Linked DNA regions of Drosophila melanogaster. The protein of the gene in region 3 interacts with the protein of the main gene of each other region in a pairwise test. Each region holds a gene or a part of one and is shown on either strand. Other genes may lie near its edges.

Region 1 (4,173 bases), on a different chromosome or scaffold from region 3:
TAGAAGTTAATGTCTATATTATTTTAATCGTTATTTGTGGTATTAAAGGGTATTCGAGATTTGATTTAACATATGAAATAGATATCAGACATTAAGTATATGTATTAATCTTTCTTAAGATCACTTGCCAGTGATCTGGCCATGTCCGTCTTTCCGTCCGACTGAACGTAGATACCTAGAAAAGTTGATGTAATTTGGTGTTCCAAATACTTATCGACCCTTAAAGTTTTTCACAAAGTTGTTATTTACCTTTTGCCTTTTATTCACTTGTACAGAGCGTCCTGGGATTACGTTTGAGCCGCAGCTGTGCCACAGTCCCTCAGAGCAGAGTAGCTCCGACAGCTCCGACAGCACCTACCAGTTTGCGACGAGCTTCGGCGTGATCTTTGCCCTGACCTTTGGTCTGTCCAAGCTGCTCCAACTGGCGGAGCTGCAGGCCAAAAGGTATTTCAAGAGCAAAAAGGCGCTGCATCCCAAATCTGCTGCCAAAGTGCAGGACCCAGTTGTTGAGCAGAAGGCGCCAAGCCAGCAGGACGATTCGAATCCCTTCGATCTCCTGCAGGACCACAATGAAAATCTGAAGGAGCAGCTCAGTATCCTGCAGTTGCAGTGTCTGGAAATGCGCGAACTTCTGCACGAGCTGGATATCAGCAGTAGCTCCAGTAGCTATGGAAGTGTCAGATCCGGAAACCGGGTAGCAATGGCCAAGTCCTCCGAAGAATCAATGGTGGTGTGGAGGCGATCGGACTCCCTGACCGGTACGGTCTCCGGCTCATTGCACGCCGAAAAGGTCAACTCCCCCTCCACACAAAACATCTACATTACCAACAGCCACTTCCACATCAACGGACAGGTCTACCTGACCGAGAACCACGTGAACGTCGAGCTCACCCAGAACGCTTCTTTGTTCGGTCGGGGGCAGAGCGAGTTCCTGCAGGTGGCGGGAAGGTTCATCTCCGGACCAAAGAAGATGCCCATGTTAACGGGCATGCGGTGCCACAACATCCTCATATGAGGAGTCTTCAAAATCATCCATTTCACTCGGAATAAACAATGTTACTAGCAATTCAACGACGTTTATCTTTAGTAGTTGGTAATACAAGGGAAATGGTTCCATAGAAAAAGGGCATCGCATCAAATAAGGCTTGCTCGACTATAGGTTACTTTCTAGTTTTATTATTGTAGTTGATTTAACATAAATGTTTTTAAAAACTTTGGGGTTCGAGTGTTTTAATGTCATCAAGAAAAGGAATTTAAGGAATAATTCTAGCACATTATCTATAAAGGCAATAATCGCTTACTCCTTTTGATTTACAAAGTTATTAATAATGTACATATGTACTTAATTAACACCAGAAATCGATGCCATTTACTTTGTTTTAGTCTTGTATTTAAAATTGAATTATTCGTTTTTTTGTACTGTATGTTTTTTATTGAATAATTTGCTACTAGAATGATTCCGCCATGGGGTATATTGGGAATAGAAGGGTATGGCTAGCTTTATTGGTCATTGGGTAAATGGTTTTCCCCTGTTTTCCACCACCCCAATAAGTATATTTCGTTACAAACACATGGTTTTAGAGTTCAGCAATAATGATTTAGCACTTTGGGGTCGACCAAGGAAAGATTTTTTCTTTAACCATAGTTACTTTTACCTGCATGTATCACATTATGCATTGACCTGCTTGGATCTACAGAAAATCGTAAGATTAGTTGGGACGCACCGTAAAAAGATGAGTGCAGCTGCTGGAAAGCCCTTCTTTGATGACACCTGACCCAGGTAACATTGTTAAATATGCTATGTTGCCCATTTTACAGAACCAAACGACCTTGGGACATGTTTGTATATAAGCCTTACGACTTACCTATTCACTTCAGAAGGAGTACAACCCTTGTCATAGCAACATCTTTACAGATTGCCAATTCCTGTGCTTATTGCCACATTTTAAATACGCATTCGCCGTGAACAAACACGAAAATAAGGTAAGTTTAAGGTAAGGATTGCCATTGTGGGTCAATTCGTGCCGAGTTAGCAAAGTCATAAATAAACCAAGATGTATTTGGAAATTAGTGCAATTTATGTTTAAAGCTCTACACAAGTATTAAATTTCATTGATTATTAAATATAAGAAAGAGTGCAGAGGGTTCTTTTTGATGCTATGCAACTAAAAGATGACGTTTGTCACTGACCTTATAAAGTGTATGTGTCATCCATGACTACGATCTAGTCGTACCTATTCTGTCCGTTTGTTTGAAAGTTGAGATCTCAGTGTATTTAGCATTCAGGATGTAGATTCCAGAAACGCTAATACTCAAAGATCTGGGAATAACCATTATACTTTTTTGAAACCGTTTAAGTGCACGATTTTGTATATTCGCAATTTTATATTCACACAGTTCGTGTCATTTCAGATCGATGGAATCGTCAATATGCCGAGTTTGCCTGGTCAGTTACGAAAATATGGCCAGTGTTTTCGATGAGTCTCATGAACCGGGCCTATCCATTGCGTACATAATATACAAGTGCACCGGCTGGCAAGTTGAGAAGCACGATCCACTGTCCAACACCATATGCAAGTCCTGTCTGGAGGATGCGCAGAATGCATTCGATATCATAGAAACGTACGAGAGAAGTCACCAGTTTTACCGCTTCCTCAAGGATGTACGGGAGGAGGAGAGTGAAAATGATGGATCCGGATGCTCAGAAGAAGTGGAGGCAGCTGAGAGGGATCTCCAGGATGGTGCCGACGACGTCGATTCCGGCAATGAACCTGATATTAACGAATGTGATATCAAGGCCAAGGAGAAACCAGGCTTTAGCTGTTCTCACTGCCCTAAATCTTTTCAAGTAAAATCAAATCTGAAGGTACACATGCGTTCACACACAGGAGAACGTCCCTTCACGTGTTCCCTCTGCCCCAAGTCCTTTGGCTATAGCTCTGGTCTTCAGAATCACATGCGAACCCACACAGGAGAACGACCCTTCCAGTGCTCGCATTGCCCAAGGTCCTTTACAGCTGGGCACCACCTCAAGGCCCACATACAGATGCACGAAAGAAGAGGATCGTTAAGGTGCCCATACTGCCAAAAGTGCTTTCTAACTTCTTTAATTCTCAAGCAGCATTTGGCCACGCACACTGATGAAACGCAGTTCAAGTGTTCCCAGTGCTCGAAGTCCTTTCAAGTCGAACATGAACTTTGGATGCACATGCGAGTGCACCAAGAACGCCTCTTTACTTGTGGCCATTGCTCAAAGGACTTTGCGCTACATGCGTATCTCAAGCGACACCTGTCAAGGAACGCGAGATGCTCTCAAAGCTCAAAAGCATCTGCTCACAAAACACTAGGCCACTCAAAGGCACTTAAGTGTGGTAAGTGCCCAAAAACTTTCACTGACCGTTCGGCTCTGTCCACTCACTTGAAATCACACACCAAAAATAAGCCATTGCTCGAAGGTCCTTGCAAATCTTCAGGATCTAAGCCGGCACATAGTAACGCACAAAGAAAACCGTTTAAGTGTTCCAGCTGCCCAAGGACTTTTTCGCGGAAATCCGCACTGCTAACACACTTGCAAACCCACACAGGAAAACTGGGCACAAATCGCATGTAGAAGAAAGAACCGTTTGAGAAGGCTAAAAGAATTCGATTCTTTTTTTTTTTTTGTTCGCACGGGTCCTACGTCCACACCTCCCGCCCAACCGACCGAGGGGCGCTGCCGTGTATCGTACGGCTCGATTCGCGAGAAGATATAGACGCGATATAAAAAAGAGAACAGGAACGAGGAAATGAATATAATGTAAAATAACTATATTAAATATTACTGTTAGTAGGATCTAATTATGTAATAAAAAAGTTAAAATCGATTGCTTTAAGAGCGGCAGAGAGTTAAGTCTATTATAGTCAGAACATAAAACTCTGTAAGGGTCATGCAACTCATAGTTAGATCTACAATGATTTAAGATAAGGGGTATATAGTTTCTAGTGAATCTACTTGGAACCGAAAAGTTAAGCCGACTAATAAAGTCGGGACTCTCAACATCCCCACGAATAAGCTTACAAATAAAGACTGTTCCAAGCATAGTTCTACGGTTAGCTAGGGACGGTAAATTAATTAAAGGAAGTCTACTAATATAAGGAGGTAATATACGGTTTGCATCCCAATTTAGGCGCCGC
Region 2 (3,987 bases), on a different chromosome or scaffold from region 3:
CTGAGCATTTCATAGTAACGTAATAAAGTATCCACGGGAGCTGCCACGTGCCTGTGTCTTAAAAATATTTATTTATCAAACTTATTAGCATAGGCAAATTAAAATGTTTCCTTAAGCTAAATTCCTGCTGCGACCCACTCCAAATGCATTAAAAGAAAGTTAGCTCTGAGCATTTGCATTTGTATTGCTATCAATGGCAAATCTTATGGTCAATATTTTGGCAAATATTCGCATTGAATGACTGGATCAGCCCGATTAGGCACACGTTGCCAGTCGGGTTTCGACTACGTCATAGCCAAAAAAACAGGGAAATCCTCTGACCAGTTACAGCATAATGGCCTCAAGCCAAACTTCTTTGTCGAATGTTCCACTCTTCCCCCAAAGTGTGTGACTCACAGAAAAGCTGCCAATTAGATCGGATAATGACCACAAGCGATGGTAACATCGATCGTCATCTTTGATATTACAATATTTGTCAGCGCTAATAATATAATATTTATGTTGTCCACGGTCCACGATTTCACTTTCCAACCAACCGAAGAGAGCGCTCAACATGTTTTCAGGCTTTTCATTTAAACTGTATTTCGTATTCGGTCACTTACATCTATATATTCATGCACTCTCCGCAATTATAATACAATATATATATATTTTTTCTTAAAGTTCAATGTTGTATAGTTTTGATACATGATCGCCCTAACGTCTTATCAATAGAAACGTAACAAGCGGCTCCTGCGCAGTCAAACTGCTCCTTAATCCTTGGATTTCTCCGGTCAGGTCAGAGTTCGGTGGCGAAATAAATGCGCCTACTGGGTCAGAAGTCACCCACAGCATGGGAAACGAACTCAAACTGGCGCTCAATGCTGTTCTCCGACTCCAGTTCCAGTGCATCGTCGATGAAGTGCATCTCGACGTGCTCGCGGAACGCATTGAAGGACACTTGGCTGGAGTACTGCTTGCCGCACATAGGGCAGGTCTTCTCCATTGCGTCGGCTGCATCTGCTTTGATTTTCTCTTGTATTATGTTAATTCTCTGGCTGGGCGGCGTGCCATTGTGTCCATTGTGTTGGCTCTCATAGTTCTTCAGCTCGCTGGTCAGGCTGTCGTCCGTTTCCAGACTTTTGTCGGCCATCTCCGGTTTTTTGATGGTTTTCTGGGCACATTCCGGACAGGGCTTGAGTGCTGCTTGCACATAAAACAGGCGTTAAAAGTTATTTTTTTTATAGCATGAATTCCATTTTGTTGCTTACCTATGCGATTTTCTAGCAGAGTCATTACCGATCTGAGCTCCTGCTGCTGCTTCATGGCCTCTCGCCTCAGCTCCTGCAGTCCATCCAAACATCTTTTGGCATCCACATTGGCATCTGGTTCACTAGTGGTTTCCTCCACCTTTTGCAGGTTGTAGGGGTAACCTAGTTCCTCACTGCTGGCACCGAAGTCATCCAGGGCTATTTCCTCCAGACTGAGATCCTTAATGCCGTCGGAGAGCATCTTTTGGCGAAGGTGAGGATTGGGGGAGTGCTGCGTAAAGGTCTTGGAGCGCACCAGGTTCTGGTTTTGCTGGGCTCGCGAGTCTGTTGAGCTGGGCAGTGCGTTCAGCTGCTGATCCTTGGAGATCTGCGATAGGCGGGACCAGAGCCGTCTGTTCTCGTTGGATACCATGCCAATGTGCTCCTCCAGCTGCTCCTTTTGGCGCTGCAGCTCAGAGACCTGTGCTTTCAGAGAGAGGACGTCCCCAGTGACCCCGATTTCGTTTGCCCTTGGAGCACCTTCCGACCTGCTGGAGGCCTCCCTTAGCTGCTGGTTCTCCTCCTCCATGCTGGCCACGCGGCGCTGCAGCTGGATGCACCGCTCCTTGATCGTCTGCAGCGCCACTTGCAGTGCGTAGTTCATTTTTTCACTGGAGGGGGAGTTTGTGGATCCGGAAGCGGACATGGAACTGGCCATAGGCGTGATTTTGGCAGCAGATGCCTCCATTCTGCAGTATTGGAGTTCCTTGGCACTTGATCCCAAAAATATACGTTTTCCTGTAGATGTTTGATTTTCCAAATTTTTATTGCGTTCTCATTAGTATGACCGTGCGATGAACTTAAAAAAATAATATACACTATACCGATAGTCTATAGTCACTGAAGACAGATAAATAAAAGTAAAGTAATGTATTGAGCTAAGTTTAATTACTTAAACAAAAATAACGACTCTTGATCTTATAAAGTTAGACCACCATTTACATGGTTGAAGACGATAGGTTCAACAGGTTTCACTCTATCTCAGCATTCCTATTACGTTATTTGGTAGAGTGACCAGCTGGTATCGCGAACAGCTGTTTTTGTTTACGCTGCATTATTATCCAACAAATTTTCCGATGTTTTGCGGCAAGAGTTTAGTCAATAATTTTTACAAATATAAGAGAAAAGTGTGGCAGAATGTAATCCCAATTGCACAGCGCTGCAAGGGAACTTACCACCCTCCAAAAATTCTCTTTTTCGGTACCGACAATTTTTCCTTGCCCAGCTTACAGGCGCTACACAAAAACTGCGGGTAAAATGTTTTAAACAATAATGTTAAATTGGATTAATAAGAATATTTTTCTTAGTGATCGTTTGGGAGTTGTTACCTCCTTCAAAAGTCCCGCCAACTGTGTGAGGACCTACGCGGAAAAGGAGAAGCTTCCCCTGCAAAAGTGGCCCATAGATCCTTCTGTGTGTCCGCAATTTGATCTGGGTGTGGTGGTCTCCTTTGGCCACCTGATTCCTGGTAGTATCATCAATGGATTTCCTTATGGGATGATCAATGTTCACGCTAGTTTGTTACCCAAATGGCGGGGAGCTGCTCCCATCATATACGCCATCATGAAGGGAGATGCCAGCACTGGAGTTTCCATCATGAAAATCGAACCTCACCGGTTCGATATCGGTGATGTAAGTTCATTCTTATCTTACCATTGTATGCAGTAGTATTGACGACTTATGCTTTAGATTTTAGCTCAGCGAGAAGTGGCTATTAATCCCGATGTCTTCATGCCGGATCTGCATGCATCTTTGGCGTCGCTAGGAGCCGAGTTACTTGTGGATACTATTAACAACCTATCAGTAAGACTTAAGGAAGCCAAACCCCAAGATAGTTCAAGGGTCAGCTATGGTAAAGCATATCTAAGCACTTCGAGAACCTATATAAACTATATTTTTGCCTTCAGCTCCCAAGATTACCAGTAAAATCACAGAAATTATCTGGTCCGAGCTGAGTGCCATTGAAATATACACTCGTCATCGAGCTTTGTATGGCTACAAAAACCTTACAACCAACTTTTTGGGCAAGCAAGTGCAGTTGCTGGAGTTGCGATTACCGGAGAAGAGAGTTCCCGTCCAAGAACCTGGTGCCATCAGCTACCTAAGGAAGTCGAGATCCCTCATAATCGGATGTGCTCAGCAGAGTCAGTTGGAAGTGCTTCAGTTACGCGTGGAAGGTAGAAAACCTATGAGTGCCCAGGACTTTAACAACGGATTCCTGAAGCAAGCAAGGTCCTTATCCTTCACAGAGAATAAAATAGCATCGATTTGATAACGAACGTGTGGATTTAATGCACAATGGATGCTTAGTATCTAGGCCAAGTCGGAGGGCTTGACTTCCTTGGTTTCGGACAGCTGCTGCGTGGATTTTTGGAGCAGATTCTTGGTGAACCACATGGGACGAGGCTTCTTCATCTCCACGATGCGCTTGTTTTTCAGATCATCTGTGGACTGTTCGGCCTTCTCGCCTTCATAAAGAACGATTACTTCCTTGTCCACGGGATCTAGACCGAGTGTCTCCTGGATTTTCGACTGCATGAGCTCAGTCTCCTTCAGGACCTTTTGGTAGCAGAAGGCTGGAAGAGCAACATTAAAGGTGGCTACCTCTTTGTATACTTTTAAGGCTACTTACGACAAAGAACTCCCATCTCGTGGTCATGGCCACATTGCAGACAGGAGCGGAGGTTTCTCTTCTCCC
Region 3 (5,026 bases):
GTAGTTGTTGTTGTTGTTGTTGATGATGAGTATATTGTGGATCGAATATGCTTTGTAAATCCAACAGACCGGAGTTTTGGGATAGAAACGAAAGCGCCATTCGGTACGTGAGTTAACGGCGTTAGAATCGCGTTCTGGTCTCTATTAGTCCAAGCTTATTGTTGTTTGTTGTTTGATATCCTCCTGAATTATTTGACCGTGATCGCTCTCACCCGTATTACGAAACACCACTTCCGACCGGAGTAATTTCGCCAGCAATTTTGCTCAAGTTTTTTGGTGCAATGCGAAATGCAACAAAAGTGATTGATGGTAATAGTAATATTCGAAGTAGAAACCGTATATTGATCGACCAACACTTACTGATTACTTGCTTAGGCTAACATTTTGGCTTGGCTTGTTCAAAATGCTCATATGACACACTTATTTACTTAATCGTTCGTTCGTCGCACAGCACTTTGGATATACGAGGGCTAACCATATGCACTTGACGTGAGTTCTACTAACAACCAAATAATATCTCTAGTTTATTCATATATTTATTTAACGTAGGTATAACATGTATAACTTGCTTTCTTGTAACTTTTTCTAACTTGGCTCACAGTTGAGTGGAATTGTAAATTTTGCTTTTGTGCGTTTTGTGTTCTTGGGGCCTTTTGAGAGGGTTCGGGACTGGCCGGGGGGGCAAATTAAAACAATACGAAAAACGAATTGTATAGTTTCTTGATACCGGTGGTCTCGCGCTGACGATGGCTTCGAAGTAGGGTATTCTCGATTTTTAACAGCATCTTGGTCCGGAGGTACATATAGCTCGATTGCGACTGATATTCATTAGACATGCGTTGCAGTCGTATTTCAGATTTCTCCATTTATCGCTGAATTGGTTAGCCCGTGTTGCAAGCTTAAGTGTCTTGTGTTGGTTCTACGGTACAGGTCTCACTCGCTGTGGTGAAACTTGTCACTGGCTGCGGCGACTTCTAGCTCTTTGTGCTGGTTGTTTGGACCACTGTCAGATGGCGACGGACATTATATAGTAGTTGTTTACGCTGAAATCGAATATATATGTGTGTATATTTTCACTGATAACAACTTCGCTCGCTTTCCTTCTGCAGTTGGGGTTCTCTCTTGAGTTTGGTTTCGACTGATTTCGCTGTTTGTTTGGTCACTGTCAGATATTCGACATTCCAATTGGGCACTTTTGGGGGTTCGCTTCCAAAAAAAAATTGGATTTGCAACGGTGATTATGTAACTTTATTTGTTATACACTGTCAGAAGGCTGACATTATTTCGATCGTATTAGCACTAGAAATCTGATAGCGATTGTAGGGGTGGTTTCCTAGACTTTTTGCGACTTAACGTTTGGACAACTACTCGGTTTGCTCGACGATTTTGCTCTGGCTTGCACTGACTTTGCGACTTTACTCTGAAGTTGATTCGCTGGATTTGGTTTCTCTCTTTTTTTTATTTTGTATAGGTGTTATCGCGAACTTTACGTTTGTGTTGGGGTGTTATATATCAAGCGGGCGAGATGCCAGTTTCTTGGATCGTCACTTTTTATTGGGGCCTAATTTTTGCGGTGACTGCGAACAGGTTTTTTTTCGGGGCTAATTATTCACAAATGCTCTCGGCTTTCATTAGACAAATTAGGCTGTTTTTGCAGCGACTTTAGTTTGTTTCACACGATTTAGCACTGTATTTACGACGAAGTGAAACGGAACGTTTTTTATCTGTGGATTCTGTTTCGCGATAACGATAACGGTACGATTCGGTGGGTGGTGAAAACTTTTTCTGCCAATTCAATGGGTTATGGTTATATTTTAAAGTTTTGGGTTTTCTTATTTTTGTGGCCGGACTAACTTGCGAGCGTGCTAGAGGAGCACTTTTAATCCGACGAAGCGAGGCTTCGAAAAGCCCAAAGAGACGAGCATTTTGTGCGGCAGAACCTTGGTCGAGCGGCAGCCAACGCGGACACGAGGTTAAAATATCAATGAGTTGTGTGAATTTTCGCCGTTAGCGGGAAACTACAGATACACCAGTTTCGGAATCAAAAAAGCACGAAAAAAGTCAAGAAATACAGAGCGTTCCAATCAAGACGACGTCGCCGTTACAAACACAAGCAAAGATCGCGGTTCGCGGATCGCAGACGAGTGCGACAATAACAACAAGCACTTGCGATTACGGAGGCGGAACGGGAGCAACTACGCTCACATTCACACTTTTCGGAATAATGCCGACCCGAAGATTCAGATGCTGACAGCAAATTGATGCGGATGCTGCTGCCGCGCTGCTTTTCCTCTGCCGCCTGCTATCACTCTAATTGATTGTGGCAACAACAAAAGTGGCCGTTGTCTTCGTATTCATTGGAGTGCACATAGACACATGGACCACCCCTCTCTCCAGCAATTGAAAGGGCTTTGTATTGTTGTTGATGATGCTGATGTTGCTGCTGTTTTCGCTGCTACTGCTGCTGCTGCTGCACTTGTTGCTCGACGTTCCGTTACTCTCAGTTCGAGTCCCAGCTGTTTTGCACGTTCTTTTGTGTGGCTGCGTTTCGCGGTGAATGGCAAGAAGCGGACTGCTACTACACAATAACAAGTTAATTAATTGAAGTTGTCGCTGTGCGGTTGGAGGAATTGTTTTCCTCAATTTGTTTGGCTATTTGTTGCTCCTGCAATTGAATTCAATCTTTCGCTGGCATTTGTGTATATCAATTATTTCATTCCTTTTCGATTTAAGGCTGCGCGCGTCGATGACGTATTTGAATTTTGGCACGCACACTCAAAGACGCAAAGGCGAAAAGACCGAGATGAAAAAAGATTTCGGGGTCTCGCTTGTTACGCGCTTAGTAAGCTTTTCCGCTCGCTATAAACACTAGAAAAAGCGTCAACGTGTTAAAATTTTCTGCTGCCGTTGTTGTTGCTTTGCCGACGATGCTGTTGTTGTTACTCAGATTAGTTTACACTCCCGCACTAAATCGCTGAACATGTGTTTTAACGCCGATGGTACGAAAAATACTGATTTGGTGAGCGAACGTCACAAAGCTAATATTAAAATAAATACACTAGCCCGTTATGTTTCTCTCTCTCTTCGCTCTCTCACTCTCGCTCCAAAAGAGCGTGGCGTTCGACCCGCAAATACAAATACCAATACCAAAGCCCCACTGTAAGGGTCATTCTGTGCACGTGTGTGTGTGCGTGCGTCTTTGTGGAATGCAAGTGAAACAAAGGCAAGGCTAATTTTCCGTGGCACGCACTATCCAGACCAACTTATCTATCTACATTCCCGACACACGTATCCTTCCAGGTGATTGTTTCAGAGGCTGACTTGCATTTGTTGCTCTCTCACAAAACAAGGCGACAAAAATCTTTATGCTATTTATCAACAAGAACAGCTGTTGCCATTAGTCGCTGCCCCAAAGAGAACATTGCCTTTTTGTGTGGGCGTTCTTCTCTTCAGAGTGGCTCAGGGCGTATGGCGTCGATCTGTCGTTAGGGTGGACCATCTCAGACTTGTAAAAATTATTACGGATCTGCGGAACTAACTCAACTTATATATAAGTTAATACAAACATTAAATAATATTACTAATGTGAATAGCCACATAACCATTGGGAAAGAAACTAAATTTCTTACATTCCTAGTGTTGAACTTAAGGTCTAGTAACGGTACTCTAATAGCGACTAATTGTTATCCACCGATATCATTCATCTCTATCCCTAGATCGACGTGCTAAGAAAGGCCTTAATTGACAAAGCCATGTGCCGACTCGCCAAATTTTTGGGAATTGAACGGTTTTATCATAATTCTTTGTTGTAGTGCTTCCTTTTACAGTTCTTCAATTGAAGGCAATATTAAATATTTCTCAATTGTTTTTAAATTGCTATCAATAACGGGGTCCAAGTGAAATTAATTTATTTTGCACAATGAAAGTCAAGGCGCAATTGGCTGCAATAAAGTGGCGCGCATGGAAAAGCTTCATTCATATTGGTTGCACGTTTTTTTTTTGGGCCTCAATAAGCCAGCATCTGTCGCTTGCGGTTTTTGTAGACAAAAATTAGCGCTATCAATTCCAAAAAATTAGCATCATTTGGCTTAAAAATACTCTTTATGGCCATTGATTAAAACTGTCGGCGGCCATAAAGAAAAGTTAAGCCAAAATTATAAAACGTAATATGAAGTGAATGGAGCTACAGGTCTGAAAATTAGCACGGAAATTAAATAAGTTAGCATCTAAGCTAGTTCGGGGTTAGCGTTTTGAATCGGTCCAGAAGAGTTGGACAAAGTCAGCTTAAGATTATAAAATTGTTGGTCAAACTAAACAGAAAACCAATGATTATATCCAAGGTACTTAGCCCTATTAAATTAAGCTTTAATCTATTCACTTAAAATATAGTTGTAATCTATATAAATTTCAAACATCACAAATATTATTAATATAGTCATTTTGGAAATATGGAGTGACTTAAATAGAAATACCAGAATTCATTTTCTTCATCAAAAAGCACGCAATTTATGCAAAAGTTCAAAACCGAAGCTAGTAACTTTGGTTTTGTAAATGTAAAACGTTCTACGATAAAAATATTACATCTGTGTTCTAATACGTAACTAGTAATATCAGTTCAACGTTATAATTTATTGGATAAGTGGTTTACAAACGCCTTAAACTTTCGTTCCGTGTGAACCTATCGTTCTTCGATGACAGAAGGCGCGATTTGTCTGAACCTATCGACGGCCATCGATACCAAAGTTTGTTTATCATTGTTAGTCGGCACTTTGACCATAAAAATGAGCTCCATTAAGGTAAGTATATGTTATTCGGGTCAGGAAACTTGCTTCCATGTTAATGTGCAGATCGAATTTGCAGTGCAGATGCGAAGAGGTGACGAATCCTATGCCGGTGCCCTCCGTTCGGCGCTGGATGGGGTCGGCCAGGTGGAAATTGACACCCAGGAAGGTCGAGTGATAATCCAAACCCAACGACCTTGGTCAGAGATTCAGGACAAGATAGAAGCCACAGGTGTCCGGGCCGT

What was found.
Region 1: the proteins of gem (region 3) and Neu2 interact in a two-hybrid assay, tested with the Drosophila melanogaster proteins (one large-scale study listed by BioGRID).
Region 2: the proteins of gem (region 3) and spn-F interact in a two-hybrid assay, tested with the Drosophila melanogaster proteins (one large-scale study listed by BioGRID).

Annotation. Positions count from the first base shown.
Region 1 is NT_037436.4:21,488,290-21,492,462, reverse strand, and holds Neu2 (Neuroectoderm-expressed 2), read left to right. Parts: upstream 1-1,876; 5' UTR 1,877-1,983; intron 1,984-2,412; 5' UTR 2,413-2,461; coding exon 2,462-3,610; 3' UTR 3,611-3,613; downstream 3,614-4,173. Other genes in the region: CG7202 (uncharacterized protein), read left to right, coding at 276-1,015.
Region 2 is NT_033777.3:31,253,233-31,257,219, reverse strand, and holds spn-F (spn-F), read right to left. Parts: upstream 2,094-3,987; 5' UTR 1,978-2,093; coding exon 1,251-1,977; intron 1,183-1,250; coding exon 815-1,182; coding exon of another isoform or gene 779-814; 3' UTR 561-778; downstream 1-560. Other genes in the region: CG1750 (uncharacterized protein), read left to right, coding at 2,366-2,541, 2,597-2,921, 2,979-3,141, 3,197-3,561; mRpL32 (mitochondrial ribosomal protein L32), read right to left, coding at 3,603-3,865, 3,922-3,987. UniProt on the Drosophila melanogaster protein: Plays a role in oocyte axis determination and microtubule organization during oogenesis. Also required for polarized organization of the bristle. Required, with jvl, for activation of the kinase IKKepsilon in the germ line.
Region 3 is NT_033778.4:10,122,280-10,127,305, reverse strand, and holds the start of gem (gemini), read right to left. Parts: upstream 3,014-5,026; 5' UTR 867-3,013; coding exon of another isoform or gene 687-866; 5' UTR 101-686; coding exon 1-100. Other genes in the region: CG46319 (uncharacterized protein), read right to left, coding at 687-866; Ccs (copper chaperone for superoxide dismutase), read left to right, coding at 4,782-4,796, 4,848-5,026.